2 linked regions of the Tamandua tetradactyla genome follow. The protein of the gene in region 1 interacts with the protein of each later gene in a pairwise test. Links are inferred from orthologs where the notes say so. Each region holds a gene or a part of one and is shown in the gene's direction. Other genes may lie near its edges.

The links.
Region 2: the proteins of CDK5RAP3 (region 1) and TSPYL4 interact in binary tests that used the Homo sapiens proteins (3 or more experiments, as listed by UniProt). The two-hybrid records come from large-scale screens. The link is inferred for Tamandua tetradactyla from reciprocal best matches to the Homo sapiens genes CDK5RAP3 and TSPYL4.

What each region holds. Positions count from the first base shown.
Region 1 is NC_135332.1:29,256,605-29,264,545, forward strand, and holds the start of CDK5RAP3 (CDK5 regulatory subunit-associated protein 3), read left to right. Parts: upstream 1-4,678; 5' UTR 4,679-4,798; coding exon 4,799-4,804; intron 4,805-5,028; coding exon 5,029-5,074; intron 5,075-6,695; coding exon 6,696-6,827; intron 6,828-7,509; coding exon 7,510-7,610; intron 7,611-7,941. UniProt on the Homo sapiens protein: Substrate adapter of E3 ligase complexes mediating ufmylation, the covalent attachment of the ubiquitin-like modifier UFM1 to substrate proteins, and which is involved in various processes, such as ribosome recycling and reticulophagy (also called ER-phagy).
Region 2 is NC_135331.1:175,370,581-175,378,774, reverse strand, and holds the start of TSPYL4 (testis-specific Y-encoded-like protein 4), read left to right. Parts: upstream 1-5,173; 5' UTR 5,174-5,305; coding exon 5,306-6,553; 3' UTR 6,554-8,194.

The sequences.
Region 1 (7,941 bases):
TCAAGGGTAAGCCTTCTTTTTATGGCTATTGCATGAGGATAAATAGTGGGCGTTCTAGCCTAGAGTGGGGTGTGGTCCAGAAGGACTTTGGAAGAGAGCAGAGACTACAGGGTGGGGGTTCTAGATGTGCTGCGTAAGTGGGGAGAAAGTGGGAATCAGGACAAAGACCGAGGAAGGAAGAGACATGGGCTAGTGTGGCTGAGCAGAACGAATGGGGCAGGCAGCCATGTAGGGGAAATAAAGTCACGTCACACAGCAAACAAGAATGCAGGCTGAGGAGCCAGACAGGCCTGGGTTTGAATCCCAGCCCCCGCCAATTAGCAGCTCTATGACCTTGGACAAGTTACTTAATTACTCAGCTTTGGCTTCCTTGTCTTTAAAAGCGGGCTAATAATAGTACTCACATTATAAGGTTGTTGGAAGGATCAACTTAGATAAGGCTTGTAAAACATTAAGTTCTACACCCGCACGGCACGTGGTCATCCCTTAACAAGCAATTTAACAACATCCATAACAAGCAGGCTGCATCCATAGCACCCTGGGGCTCTGTGCTTCCTAAACAAAGCTGGCATAGCTGGCTGGGTCCCTGCCCACCTCCCTACATGTGCTGCTCTTCTCCCAGGCAGTGTCCCACCTGCTAAATCAGCAGCAAATTGAGAGATTCACAGCAAGGAATATCCCACATTCTATCCTGCCTCCTTCCAGATGCTGGGAGCCCCGAGGGCCACAGCTCCCCATCCCACCCACCCCTATGCAGGCAGAGCCAATGCCCTGATGCCAGACCATTGGGTCTGACGTGCCCCCAGGCCCCTGAGGTTCCCTGTGGCTTTGTAGGGTGCTCCCCGTGGCCCACTCTCCTGCGCTCTCTTGGGGTGGCCTCCCTGGGGCCAGCAGCTGAGCAGAAATGTCCTTTGCCATCCTTCTGTCCCACCTGGGTCACAGGAGCTGAAGGTAGGGGTGGAACGCCAGTGGTCTCTGCCTCCACCCATTCACCAGGGCCGGGTCTTCTAGAGCCACCCTGACCTGCTCTGCCCGGCCTATGGGTTCAAGGAGGAGAGATCCACCTTGAGGGTGGGGCAGGGTCATATTTCTTGGGATGCCCCAGAATGTAGGGAACACATAGTTGGAGTCCAGTAAGTGTTTGTTTAATCACTGGGGAGCCTGAGCAATTCTTGCGGCCTGAGTCAGGACTCTAAGACAGGAGCCAAATTCCCATGAGAGAACATGAAGAGGCCCTTGGTTCTGCCCTGTGAGCCGTTTTCAAGGAAGCTGAGTAAAGAAGTTACTGTCAACCCATTCTATAATAATAATAATGATTATTATTATATATATGATTTGTTTAAATGTTTTTTATTGTTAAATATAACATATACACAAAGAAAAGAAAGAAAAAGCAATGATTTTCAAAGTACACTTCAAGAAGTAGATGCAGAACAGATTTCAGAGTTTGTTATGGGTTACCATTCCACTATTTCAGATTTTTCCTTCTAGCTGCTCCCAAACTTTGGAGTCTAGAAGGAAGTTTTTTCTTTTCTGTGAAAAGTAACACATATACAAAAAAGCCATAAATTTCAAAGCACATCGCAACAATTAGTTGTAGAACAGATTTCATAGTTTGGTATGTGTTACAATTCCACCATTTTAGGCTTTTGCTTCTAGCTGCCCTAAGATACTGGAGACTAAAAGAAATATCAGTATAATGATTCAGCACTCATACTTGTTTGTTAAACCCGACCTTCTCCGCATAACTCCACCATCACCTTTGATCTTTCTCCCACTCTTTAGGGTATTTGGGCTATGCCTGTATAATGTTTAATATATATGAGTAAAAAATTATAAGAAAAAAAGGTCTAAAGTATCTTGTGAAGTATACAGAGCTACATACACCTAGTATATTTATGTATTTAATTCTATAAGCAGAAATACCTTTAATTGGTCAGCAGAGGTATCTCCATGCTATTGTTGAGGAAACTGTGGCTATGAGAAAGGTTGTGGAAATGGTCTAAGAGCTCACTGGGTAGGAGTCTATGTCTCCCCACTGTTGTATCACACCATACAGTTAAAAAAAAAATGTACTGGGTCCCAAAATTTGGGCTGCAGGGGCTGGACATGTGAAAGAATCAGGCAGAGCCTCTGGGAGGAGCTAGCCTGAAAGGGGAGCAATGGTCTACCCAGGACTGTGAGATCCTGGGGGGAGGGGGAGTGTGGAGATGTACTGTTCCCAACCTCTCTTCTCACTCGACCCCCCTCTGGGCCAGGCTCCTCTCCTCCCTGGGCTTCAGCCACTGCTTGGATCACAGATCGGCCAGCCTGTGACTCTCCAAAGCTCTCCCTCCAGCCCCTGAACTCCAGAGCTGTGGACGCCATTGCCTGCCGCAGACATTCTACCTGGCAGTCTCTGAGCACCACCAACCCACCCCCAGGTTTGAGGCTGAGATCCCCTCCCCAACACCTGCTCTGCACCCTGTATCCCTGTCTCAGACGGTAGCACTCCACCCAACAGAAGCTGTCATCCTTGGGGTCTCTCTCCCCTAATGTACCCAGCCAGTAAATTGCCAAGTGCTGTGCATTTTTCTCCCTAACAGCTTTCAAATCCAGCCTCCCTCCTCCTTCTCGTGGCTTCTGTCCCATTTGAGGCCCCAACCTCTCCCAGATAACCTCCTAAGCAGACAATGTCCCTGACTTCAGTTTTATCTCCCTTGAATCCATCTTCCTTGCAGTCATTAGAAAGATCTAAGATGCAAATCTATACAGGTCTCTCCCTGCTTCAAAGACTTAAAACCCTTCTGGGGTTCCTTTCTGCAGGGCGAAGTCCAAGTTCCTTAAGGAAACCCCCTAAGATTTGACCCTTCCACCTTCACAGACTCATCTCAGGCCACACTCCCTGCCTCAAAACTTTTACTATGGGGAAGTTGGCCTGCCCATAGAGCTGCTTCAAGAGCCTGAGACCGGTGCAGTTGCATGGGGCCCAATGTGCAAATGGACCCCACGCTTGCTTTACTGAGCAGCTGTGGCTGTCTTGAATTTCTTAGTAATTTTTGAACAAAGGTCCCGCATTTTCATTTTGCCCTGGGCCTCACCAATTACGCTGTTCCCTGAATCCCTCTTGCAGTTTCTGGCCTCCAAAGCTTTGTGCAGTCTCCCCACTGAAACACTCCTGCTTACAATGCCCCCCTTTCTACAGCTCTGCCTTTAAGATCACACTTAGGTGTTATCTGTGTAATGCCTCCCTGACCATCCTCCCTCCCTCTCCAGAGCACCAATCACCTAATCACAAATTGAGCACTGATAAATTGAAAGGGAAAACAGCCCGACAAGTGCCCCAAGAGAGTTACAAACTATTATTGATGGTAAAGAGAGGCAAAGAGGCAAGTTGGCTTTAACATTTTTTTTTCCTAGCTCTCCATCTCTAGGGTAAATTCCAAATATCTTAGCTTGGTTTATCAGTCCGGATTGGCTAAGTTATGCTGCAGTAACAAATTATCCCCAAATCCTAATGGCTTAATACATGGTAAGTTTATTTCTTGCTCACTGTACATATCCAATGCATGCTAGCACGGGCCCTGCCCCACATGGCCTTTCATGGGCCCAGGCTGATGCAAGCTCCAATGATATCGATCCAATGCTGGGTTCCCTGCCTGATGTGCATAACAGCTGATCCCTGACAAAGGGGACTCAAAAAGTCTACCGCTAGGCGGTGCCACGGTGGCTCAGTGGCAAGAATTCTCGACTGCCAAACTGGAGATCCAGGTTTGATTCCTGGAACCTGCCCATGCAAAAAGAAAAAAAAAAGTCTATTGCTACATGGAAAGCAGGAGATCAGATGGCCTATTGGCCCAAAAATCTGTCTCCCCGGGTCTAAGGAGTTCAGGGAGTTTATGGATTCAACCAAGGGAGCTGTTACCATTACAATATCAAGTATAAAAGCAGGGCTGAGACTAGGCTATAATAAGCATTACAATAGTGAGTATTCACAGGGCTGAGACTAGTTGAGTTTCAGTAATTTCAGGTATTAACTTTCAGCTGTTCTACAATATAAAAAGAAAACATCTATATAATGATTCAGTAATCATAATCATTTGTTAATTCTTAATTTCTCCTTTACACCAGCATCTTGGAGCATGTAACCTCGTTGGTCTCTGGAGCGAGGCAAGAAAGCTAAGGGAGAACTCACACTGCCTCTAATGTGCTTTAGCCCCGAACTGACATATGCGCCTTCCGCTTACAGCCCATTGGCTCCCTCCAACTGGAAGAAGACTGGAAAACGAGGGGCGAACATGGATATTTGGTGAGCAGTAACTATCTGTCATACACGACATACAAGACCTTTTGTGATCTACAAGAAAGAAGGATTTTTAATGCCCGTGGAAAACGCCCTCCAGGTTGACGCTGGGACCCTGCATGCGGACTGCGGGGAGGTGACAGCTCCGCGTTGTCCCGGGGTGGAGACTGCGGTTACCGTCCCTCCAGCGCCCCCTGCCGCGATCGCGCCACGGCTACAGCCCCTTCCCAGGCTCCGCCTTCCCATTCCCCGGCCTGAGCCCGCCTTGCTCCTCCCATTGGCTGTCTCCCGTTCTCCCGCCTCTCTCGGTGCAGCCAATCGGAGCCTGGGTGGGGGTGGGGCTTGCGGCCGGGGAGGAGCGTACGCCTCGATTGGCTCATTGGCTCTGCCGAAGGTGGAGACGTAGTCGAAGGAGGCCAGTTCGTGTCTAACTTAGACTCAGCCACCTCAGCGCAGGATTGGTGGTAGGGCGGGGCGGGCTTGGGTCCCCCGGCCGGAAGCGGAAGTAGAGGAAAGATGCAGGTGGGAGTACGGAGGTGGGAAAAGGGGGTGCTGACCTGGGACCCCTGGGCGGTGTCCTGCCGGTCCGTTGCCGACCGGCTATCTCGGCCTCGCCCCCGGGGCAGCCCTTCCTGGCCCTTCGATTTGGCCCCGCAGGGTGACTGTGGGGACTGTGAAATGAGCGCGCGAGTGTCGCACCCCCGGCCCGCGCTGACGCTCCCCTTCCTCCGGTGTTTCCCTCTTAGGACCATCAGGACGTGCCCATCGACATCCAGACCAGCAAGCTGCTCGGTAGGAGGGGGAGCCCTCGCTCAGCTGGCTGTCAGAAGGGGGGCCCGATTCTTTGTCCCCTGTCGCCAAGAGCCAGGAGTCTTGATGCCTGAAGGTCCGGGTTGAGGCATTTGTCTCTCGCCATGTGCCTCATCTGTGGCTGGACCTGTCTCGCTAAGAGAAGGGGGGATAGAATCGAACGTAGAATCTGTACTTCACCTGCCTTTTCTATATTAACATTTAAACGTGTTATCAAGTCATATCATTTAAGTGTAGGGAGGCTATATGACTTACTTTAAAGACATTCGACTGCCAAGTGACCTCCCCGAGATTGGAACTTAAGTGTCTCTAATGGCCACGCTTTCTCAGATATGCCATTCTTACTAGCTTCCATCTCCCTGTGATTTTAGGGGGATTAGGGAAACAAAAATTAGTTGGAAATAAAGACCTTTAATTAGCTAGGCCATCTCCCAACCGCCTCTCTCTGGTTTATGTACCTCTTCCCCAGTTCCGAGTAGGGGAAGGGTCTCTTTATTCTGACCACTCCAGGGTATTTGCACAGCTTCTGCTGTTGTTCATTGCTCAGTGAATTAATGGATACAGTGCCAGTCTTATCATTAAGGTGGTGTCAGGCCTTTGCTTTTAGTTCTGTGAGTGTGGGACCACAGTATTTGATGAGTTGGCAGATTTTAGGGCCATCTACTAAGACCTGTGCAGTGGCCTATAGAAGAGCTTCTTTAGCCTCACTTCAGATTTGTTCTGACTCTTTTGTACAAGTGCACTCTTGCTGTGTGAGCTCATCGTTGGTTATGAAAAGGACAAATAAAACAGTATCATTAATTGAGGGCTTGATGTATGCCAGACACTGTTTTAGGCATTTACTGTTATAAAAATAAGGATCACTGAGGTTTACTGAGTCCTTGCCAGGTGTCAGGCACAGTCCAGGCTTTATTTGGACTCAGTACCTTATTCTCTCCATTTTACATGTGGGGAAACTGAGGCAAAGAGAGGTTGAGAAACTAGCCCAAGAAACTGTGGAAGCCAGACCCATCTGATCATAAAGCCTAGCTCTTAGCTCTCTCCCATTGAAGACTGGTGTGCACAGCTCAGTCCACCCATACCTCTTATGAAAAGCACAGGTCTAAGCCTAGATTCTGGAAGGTCAGGCCTGTTGACATTTATATATATGGGACAGTACTTCACTGTTGAGACTAGACCAGTGTTATCTAGTTCTTAGGTATTAGGGGCTTTACAGATGGTCATTCATCTGGAACTTGGCATAACCATCTTGTGTTTTGCATTGTTGTGGTTAATTCCATCCCTGAGAAAGTGGAATGACTACCCATGGAAGCAGAAATACTATGGAGAATTTAAGTGGTCAAACTGGCGCTTTTATATCAGGACCAATTTAAAATTTTCTGTCTCTCTGTGTTGAGGCACATGCTCTATAAAAATCACACTGAAGACAAAATCAGGTTGCCAGGGTTTGTTTAGCCCCAAGCATCCCTTTGGATCTGTCTTTCCAACCATATTCCCCTGACCCCCAATCCTTAAACAGGATGAAGAAAATCTAGCTCTTGTCTCAGCCTATCTCATTTGGTGCTGGGAGTGGGGCTGCAATGATTTGGGTGTTTCTCGATAGACTGGCTGGTGGACAGAAGACATTGCAACCTGCGATGGCAGAGGCTGGTGCTGACGATCCGAGAGAAGATCAACGCTGCCATCCAGGACATGCCGGAGAGCGAGGAGATTGCCCAGCTGCTCTCTGGCTCCTGTGAGTGCTTCAGTACTGTTACCGGGGTCTCCCCTCTCCCAGAGCTGTCTGTATCAGCTGAGCCATTCTCTTGTTGTTTAGCTCCTGGGCTGACCCCTAGAGAGATATTTTGTTTTTTTAATTTATTTATTTATTAATTAAAAAAAAATTTAACAACAAACAAAAACATTAACATATGATCATTCCATTCTACATATATAATCAGTAATTCACAATATCATCACATAGTTGCATATTCTTTATTTCTTAGAACATTTGCATCAATTCAGAAAAAGAAATAAAAAGACAACAGAAAACGAAATAAAACAAAAACAGAAAAAAAAAAGATTATACATACCATACACCTTACCCCTCACTTTCATTGATCACTAGCATTTCAAACTAAATTTATTTTAACATTTGTTCCCCCTATTATTTATTTTTATTACATATGTTTTACTTGTCTGTTGACAAGGTAGATAAAAGGAGCATCAGACACAAGGTTTTCACAATCACACAGTCACACAGCTACATCATTATACAATCATCATCAAGAAACATGGCTACTGGAACACAGTAGAGAGACATTTTTATTTGAGGGTGTCAGTGCTGGTTTCTTCCAGCACCATATGATGACGGGAGAGTCGACCACATGCCAACGGCACTGTAATTCTCAATGTCTTCACTCTTCCTTGATTTCCAGACATCCATTATTTCCACTGCCTAAGAATCGTGGACCTTCTCAAAGGCACTGAGGCCTCCACGAAAAATATTTTTGGGTGGTACTCTTCACAGCGAATGCAGGCAAGTATGGGCTGAGGACTGGTGATGTGCCTCCAGCCTGCAGGGTTAGAGCCTTTCTCATTTCTCTGAGGATCCAGTGGGAGGCTCCTTTGTAGAATATTTCCTGAGCTTTCTCTCTGTCCCCATAATTTATGCCAAAGGTAGATCTTACCCCTGGGTTTAAATTTTCAGATCCACTGCTTTGGGAATTGCTTGTTGGCGCCCCACTCTTAAAAGAAAGTGGCTAGGAATGCCTAGAGTGTATAATGATAGTGACTAAATGTACAAATTTAAAAATGCTTTGCATGAGGAAGAACAAAGGAATGTCAATAATACAGGGTATTGAACATAG
Region 2 (8,194 bases), on another chromosome or scaffold:
AGCATCTTAAACTTTAATACCAAAGGCAACTATTCATATTATCACCTTAAAGACCACCTCCTTCTTACAGAGACCAGGAATTAGGGTACCACATTCACTGACATTAAAAAAAAAGAACCAAAATGGTTTCTCAATGTGTGTGTGTTTGAAAGTCTATGACTTTCAAGTTCTCCTTATAAAACCTCCAGTAATCCAGATTAAGATCCACCATCATTCAGTTGGACCATGTCTCCATTTATAACTAGTTCACACCCACAGGAATACGGATTAAGAATATGTCTAAACTAGGATACATAATTCAGTCTACCACACACTAACACCTCTTCTGCAAATTTTGTGGCTGGGGCTTTCTTACCAAAAGATATCTTACCAGAAGATATTACAGAAGGTTTTCAGACAACAAATGATACCCAATTTCCTTTCTTAAATGGCTCTTAAAGAGTAAGCTATTTCAGTTGTCCAGTCCTGCTGGCAGGACTAACAACCAAGTTAGCATGTGTGCAGGAGGCAATGCCAAGTACACTATGACAGCTGTCAGGTTGACAACAATTGTTAAAATGTCTTTAATTTTATGATACATCATCATAAATATATGCATATTACCTACATACATACTAGTCAGATGTTAAAAAGTGAAAAAAACATATGGCTTAGAATTGAAGAGATAAACACCATGCAAATTGGGGAAATTTTGTCCTTTTTTCCAGAACTTTATCATAAAGTTGCTCACCATTTCAGAAAACTTTCAGAAGCATTGCTGCTTATGTTTCTGGTATAATATATCTAAATCAGGTTGCATCAATTAATTGTATCATACATGGGTGATTCTATAGGTATAACCATCTAACTACATATGTCATACAGTGTAGACATGTCTAGACAGTTACATATTGAAATAGATATTTTAAATTTTAACTTTTATTTCTCCTTTAATACAAGTAAGAGGACATTGATTATTTTTTAAGTTGTGTATGATGGCATGTTATACTACATGTGAATTTCAAGCAACTAAAGCATTTCAAAACAATTGTTATAAAAAGAAACATATTTTATGGATTGAGAACCACTGACTTAAGATATTGAGCTGGAGGATTATGAATTATTACCTCTCCTTTTAGTAATTGGTCATGCCCCCAACAATGATCACTATCTTTGTGAATGGAGAGAGGGGCAGAAAGATAAAGGAGAAAATATAACGCTATGTTTGGATGGTCATTTGGTTATATTCCTAGGAGAGTGCCTTCTCATTTTTATAGATTATACAGTGTTGCAGAATAGTACAATGAATGAGAGTGCAGTCTCTTGAGTCAGATTATCTGGGTTCAAATCTTGGCTTCACCACTTGTGTGACTGAATAAGTCACTCTCTTTCTCTTTGTCTCAGTTCCTTCTAAGGCAAAGTAAAATGGAAGTCATAAGATTATTACTTCACAAGGTTATTGTGAAGGGTAAGTGAGATAACACCCGTGGTAAGTGCATTTAAGTGTCTGATGTATAGAAAGCACTAAATACATACAAGCAATAATGAATATGTAATAATTATATAATTCATATATAATCATATATAATAATGACTATATAATCATGATATAAACATATTCTGAAAAACAAACTATAGTTCAAAAGACTAACAATAGGAGGTATTTCATAAATTTTCCAGTAGTCACTGTACAGTTCAGTAAAGTCGTTTTTATGTTCTGTATTAAATTATGTTTGAAATTCTGCTTAATTCCTTGTTCTGGCAAATGAAAATTACCTCATAGATTTTCATGGCATTTTCTGTGGCTGTTTTTCCATAGAATCATATCCTATTGATGTTTCTTTTTCTATGTAACGAGATTTACGCCAATTGCCAGTAGAACAGGTTTACTGTGTGCAAAAATATCCTATATTTTAAGAAACGAAAATGTAAAATATGGTTCATAGTTACAACATCCATTCAACTCAAAATGAAATACCAGTTTTGTCATTTTGAAGCTATTATGTACTCGAGAAAAGCCATTTCTTTAATCCTCATTCGATATTGCTGGGCAGGATCTTTTTGATTGCTTTTATAGAGCTATGACCCACCCAATTGTGGGTGGTAATTTTGATAAGATGGTTTCCATGGAGATGTGTCTCCACCTATTCAAGGTGGGGTTGCTTACTAGAGCCCTTTAAAAGGGAACCATTTTGAAAAATGCTTAGAGCCAACAGAACCAACAGAGCCCAAAAAGTCAGAGACCTTTGGAGATGCCAAAGGAAAATGCCCCTGAGGAATCCTTATGAAACGAGAAGCCAGGAGAGTAAGCTAGCAGACATTGTCATGTACCTTTTCAGCTGAGAGAGAAACCTTGAAAATCATCAGCCTTCTTGAGCCAAGGTACATTTTCCTGGATGCCTTAGTTTGGACATTATTATAACCTTGCCGTAAGTTGGACATTTTCACAGTCTTAGAACTATAAAGTTGCAATTTAATAAATTCCCCCTTTTAAAAGCCATTCCATTTCTGGTATATTGTATTCTGGCAGCTCTTATAAACTAGGTCACCAGTAAAGTCATAGTGCTCATATTTGCAAAACCTTTTAAATTTTTGAGTTAAATCATCAAGTTTCATTAAAACCTTCTATGAGATAGTTACTGGGCTATACTATGTTAGATGCTAAAAAAAGAAGTCACAATACAACCATACTTTTCTAGCTGGGATGAAGAGAATGACCTGTATGAAACAACCAAGAAAGTTAAGAAGTTGAGGATAGCTTAATTGAATGACAAAAGTCAAAAGAGCTATAAAATTCAGAGCATCATCAGAATGGTAAGGTAATTAAGAAAGGTTATATTCAGCAGATGGGAAGAGGCAAGTTAGGAATTATACAGGGCTATATATAGGACTGAATGGTCAGAGTTCTCCAGAGAAATAGAATCAACCGTTCTCATATGTGTGTGTGTGTATATAATGAATTGGCTCACAATTGTGAGGGCTGGCAAGTGTGAGATCACTCGTGTGTAGTGCAGGTCTACAGGCTGGAAATTCCAGTAAGAGTGATGTTGTGGTCTTGAGTTCTAAACATGCAGAAGAAGTTGCAGGTTGGAAATTCTGGTAAGAGTCGATGTTGAAATCTTGAGGTTAAAATCCTGTGGGGAGGTTGCAGCTAGAAATTCCAAGGGGACTTGTGTACTTGTGAATTGCATAGTTGTGAGAAAGAATTTCTTTGTTTGGAACCTACAGTTCTTTGCTCTTAAGGCTCCAACTGATTGGACCCACCCACAGAGTCAAGGTAATCTCCTTTACTAAAAGCCAGCTGACTGTAGATGCTAATCACATTTACAAAATACCTCTCCACAATAACATCTAGGCCAGTGTTTGGCCAAACACTGGACACCATAACCTGGTCAAACTGGCACATAAAATTAATCTTTACAAGGATCACAGGCAAGATGACTTCTCTGAAATTTCTGGGGCCTTGACATTTATATTAATGCATTAAAAATGCCTACTGCAATTTACAAGAGGTAGACAAGCTGAGTTTTAAAAATGAGCAAACTTTTATGAAAGTGGAATATGATACAGGTGACAGGAATAATCACAGAGGCAGGATGTTTCAAGTAGCAGCCATATACAGCTTTTTAAAATTTTGGAAGGTATGTCAAGTAAAAAAAAGTTCTAAGATATCAGCCCTATGTAATTGTATAATTTTCTTTTGCAAATAGCAAACACATTTTCCACTCCCCCAGCACCCCCTCACCTCCAGCACCGCACCTTCCTCCCCACTCCTGGAAAATTAGCTTTCCTTCAGCATTTGCTTCTCTGCATCTTGGCTTGGGTTACAAGAAAAAATAACTGCAGTCTGGGAAGAGTGAATCTTATTTGCACATTTATGGGATAACTGACTAGCTAATAGCCAATGAAGAGGTCAGTGCCTTTGAGAAGGCACACCTTTTGAGTAGAAGTTGAAAAAAATCTCAATTATTTAAAATTCTCTGAAAAACCTCTATAGTTAACCCCAGAGCTCAGTGACAAGTGTCTGTCCATCAGCATCTCATATTGAGGCAGACCAGGTCTGCCCTACTTCCCTCAGTAGAAGTCTCCAGATAAGTGAATCCCTACTTCTTACTGGATCCACTTTTGAGCCCTTATTTGAAAGAGATTATAATCTCCGGTCTTTCTGTGGGGAGCTTCTATTATAAAAAATTATAATCATAATCATTTCTCAAATATGAATTTAAGACGTTAAGCATAAATAAGCAAAATTTAATTTTTTTTCTGGTTTGCATTTTTCTAAGGATTAATGCCAGTATATTCACAGCCAACAAGCTAACACAGATAAAAAATAGTAGTGACATCACTATCAAATGAATACTATAAGTTAACTGATTAAAACAGGATTGACTAATAGTTTAGGCGACCACACATAGCTGATTATTGCCTCTGCCTTGCAGTTAATTATCACAGAAACAAACCTGGCAAATATTTGCTGTCTTCATGCCCACATTGATTATACAGCAAGAACTACCTTCATATAAAGATTATAACCATATGATAAGCAAGATATTATGCATCATTGTAGAGATTAAATTCCCGAGATGTAATTTCTTTCAGTAATGTTTAAATTTGCCTGCATGTGTGTGTGGGTGTCATCTCTAAGTAAAGAAAAGACAACATTTTGCTACTCATATTAGTTAAAAATAAAGAGGAAATGCTGACCAATTGCTTCTAGACTTTGGCCAAAGTACATCATCTTTAAATTCTGTAAGACAAGTTTAAATAACTCGTTAATTATCTCTCCATAGCTGCTGCTCCTAATCTTGCATGTTATCACATTTAACATTACGACACTTGATTTCCTTAAAAATCAAACTCTGCTTATCTAAAGTCTTGGGTCTTCGCCAGGAAGCCGTACATTGAAGAAGGAAGGCCTCCTAGTGGCTGTATCCATTATTTACTCATGAGAAGCACTGAGGTCTTCATTCAGAGCCACAGGAATCCTCATCAACACGGTTCTCACAGGCCTGAATTTGGCCAACATACATTTCTGCAAGTTAAAGCTCTTGTCCAGACTGTTTAAACTCAATAACATTTTGTGAAAAGAAGACAAAGGAATACGCTGGGATGACAAGCGAAATCACCAGGTGGCGCGAAATCACCAGGTGGCGCGAGATCTCGCGGTGTTAGGATGCCGCAGTCTTGACGGCACCGGTTGCCATGGCAACGTCAGCCAGCACGAACAAGGGGGTGGTGCGAGTGGCCATTGCGGTAGCCGCTTCCACCGAAGAGAAAGGACGTTCTCCTCCATTCTTCTTCTCGTGGTGGTCTCACTTCTGCCAAAATGAGCGGTCTGGATGGAGGCAATAAATTTCCTGTTCCTAGACCTCGCGGCCTCTCTACCTCCAACCGTGCCGCGGGGGAGCCGGACCAACAGCAGTGCCGGAGGATCTGTGAAGAAGCCAAGGCCATACAGGTGATGGCGGAGATGGGCAGGGGCAGCTTGGAGGCCGCGGCGGAGGGGGGCGCATCCCGCGACTCTGCGGAGTGCGGTTTCGCGCTCCGTTTCCGAGTTGCCGGGAGCCGCAGCCATGCACCTACCAAAACCGGGCAGGAATCCGGGCGCTCTGAAGCAGCCTCTGCCTCGGTGGCAAATGGCAGCAGCCAGAAAAATGGCGGTCAGGGCGGAGAGCCGCGGGGTCCTGGTGGGAAGAAGGGCCCGGAAGCCTGTGGCGCAGTGGGGTGTGGCGCAGTGGGCTGTAGGGCTCAGATGATGGCTGGGGCGAAGGCAAAGGAAGCGACGACTAAAAAGGGTGCCACCTCCGCGGCTGCGGTCAAGGGCCAGGGAGAAGCAAAGGAGGTGGTGGAGGAAAAGAAGGTGGCTCCGAAGGAGAAAAAGGTGGCAGAAGATGTGAAAGAGAAGAATGGGCCCAGGGTCCCGAAGGAGAATAATTGCATGGACTCACTGGAGGCCATCGATCAGGAGCTGTCAAATGTTAATGCCCAGGCTGACAGGGCCTTCCTTCAGCTGGAGCGCAAGTTTGGCCGGATGCGAAGGCTCCATATGCAGCGCAGGAGTTTCATTATCCAGAATATCCCAAATTTCTGGGTCACCGCCTTTCGGAATCACCCCCAGCTTTCACCCATGATCAGTGGCCAAGATGAAGACATGCTTAAGTTCATGACCAATTTGGAGGTGGAGGAGCTTAAACATCCCAGAGCAGGCTGCAAGTTCAAGTTCATCTTTCAGGGTAACCCCTACTTCCGAAATGAGGGCCTCGTCAAGGAATATGAGCGCAGATCCTCTGGCCGCGTGGTATCTCTTGCCACCCCAATCCGATGGCACCGGGGCCAAGACCCCCAGTCCCATATCCACAAGAACCGGCAGGGAAACAGTATCCACAGTTTTTTCGATTGGTTCTCAGACCACAATCTCCTAGAATTCGACAAGATTGCTGAGATCATCAAGGATGAACTGTGGCCCAATCCCCTGCAATACTACCTGATGGGTGAAGGGGCCCGCAGAGGAATGAGAGGCCCAGCAAGACAGCCAGTGGAGAACCCGATGTCCTTCAGATTCCAGTCTGGCTAAGTCCTGCCTTTGTGAGAAGCTCCTGCACAAGTTTCCTTACCATCACCTCTTGGACCTGTGCTTGGCCAACAGCATGCAGTATTTCATCTGCTTTCTCATCGTACAGGATTTTGTCCTTTAATTTTTCTAGATCCTCAACACGCACTTGCGAGGTTATCACCCACATGACTGCTCTTTTGCTTCCTCTTAGTCTTCATGCTATTCTGCAGTGTGTTACATGTTCCAAGTGCATTGCCTGCCACTGCTTCTATGCCAAGGACACGATGCTGTAGATATGCACTGCCTTATGTGGTTATCAACCAGCCAGCCAGGGAAGCTTGATAACATCTTTGCAAACAACTAGCTGGGCTTCGTATCTTATGATGGCTGTGTTGTGATACCCACGCGAGCTCTTTGAGTTTCGCCGCTGCAAAAATGAAGCTGATATAGATGATGTCAGCTATCTCCCCAAACGGGACATTCCAGACTACCACTGCTGGATCCCTTCTGTCTCACTGGCCCACACTGTCCACCTTGCTGGTTATCTGGCAGAACAGACAGGTTGCTGATGAGTGACTGGTAGGCATGACTGAGGTAATGAATGAGAAGGGTTGTGTGTTACCATGTTGGTTTTCCTTTGCCATCAGTCAGTGCATCGTGACCAGCTTAATGGTGAGTCTATGAAGGCCTGTGTTATGATCCATCCCCACCTGTTCTCAGCCTTCTGGATGAGCTTTGCATAAGCCACCACTGTCTGTCTCACAGGAACTCTGTGGAGCCAGCACACAGGAAAACTTCCCTCCCCCTCAGATGATTATATGTAAACTTCACTGGCTGTCAGGCAGGTTGGGGCAAACATATGTGACAGTACCCAAAGCAGGAGGTGAATGGGGATGGTTCCCAACAGTAAGCCTTTTGAGCCCAGCAATGAACCATACTTAATCTAGGCAACTTTGTGGGGTTCTCTCTTCATTCCCTACTGCACCTACTGTGAACATGTCTAAGCTGCCAGGATGGGGCACTGAAGAAGTTATTTCTGGTCTGTAGGACCTTTTCTGCCTCTTTCTCTTTTAAACAGTTACAGCTCAGAAACAGGAGAAAAAAACACACATACAGACAAAAACTGGCACAGCAGCCTCTCCCCTTGATTATGTACAAAGGGAGAAAGTAAAATAGAATTCAGATCTCTTATTATCCTCTTCTCCCCTCAAGCCTTTGTGCCACTTCCTTTAGCAAGGCCTAAAAATATCAAAGGGAGACAATTGCTTAGCTGTGGGCAGTTTTCTTATAGGCTGCTAGTGACAGCCCCACTCCTTTTCCCTATCCATTACACCAAAACCTCCTGTGTGTTTCTTGAGCTTTAGTTTGAGAAGGCTGGAGGAGACAGAGAAAGGCCCAGTGGTGATGGGTTCAGGATACACCCAGAGTAGGATGTGATCTAAGGCAGCCAAAGCTTAGCTTCACTACACTTGCCTTACAATAGAAATTATTTTCAGGACCTTGGACCACTTAAAATTATGAACTCAAGGTAGCATTTTACAAGTTTCTCCTGTCCTCTGTCTCTTTTATGACATGCCAGGGGGCCTCCATCCTGCTCCCTGGTCTTCTTGGCCCTTAGGCCTCAGCATCCCCATGTCCTTCCCTTCTGTCCTAGCAAACGAG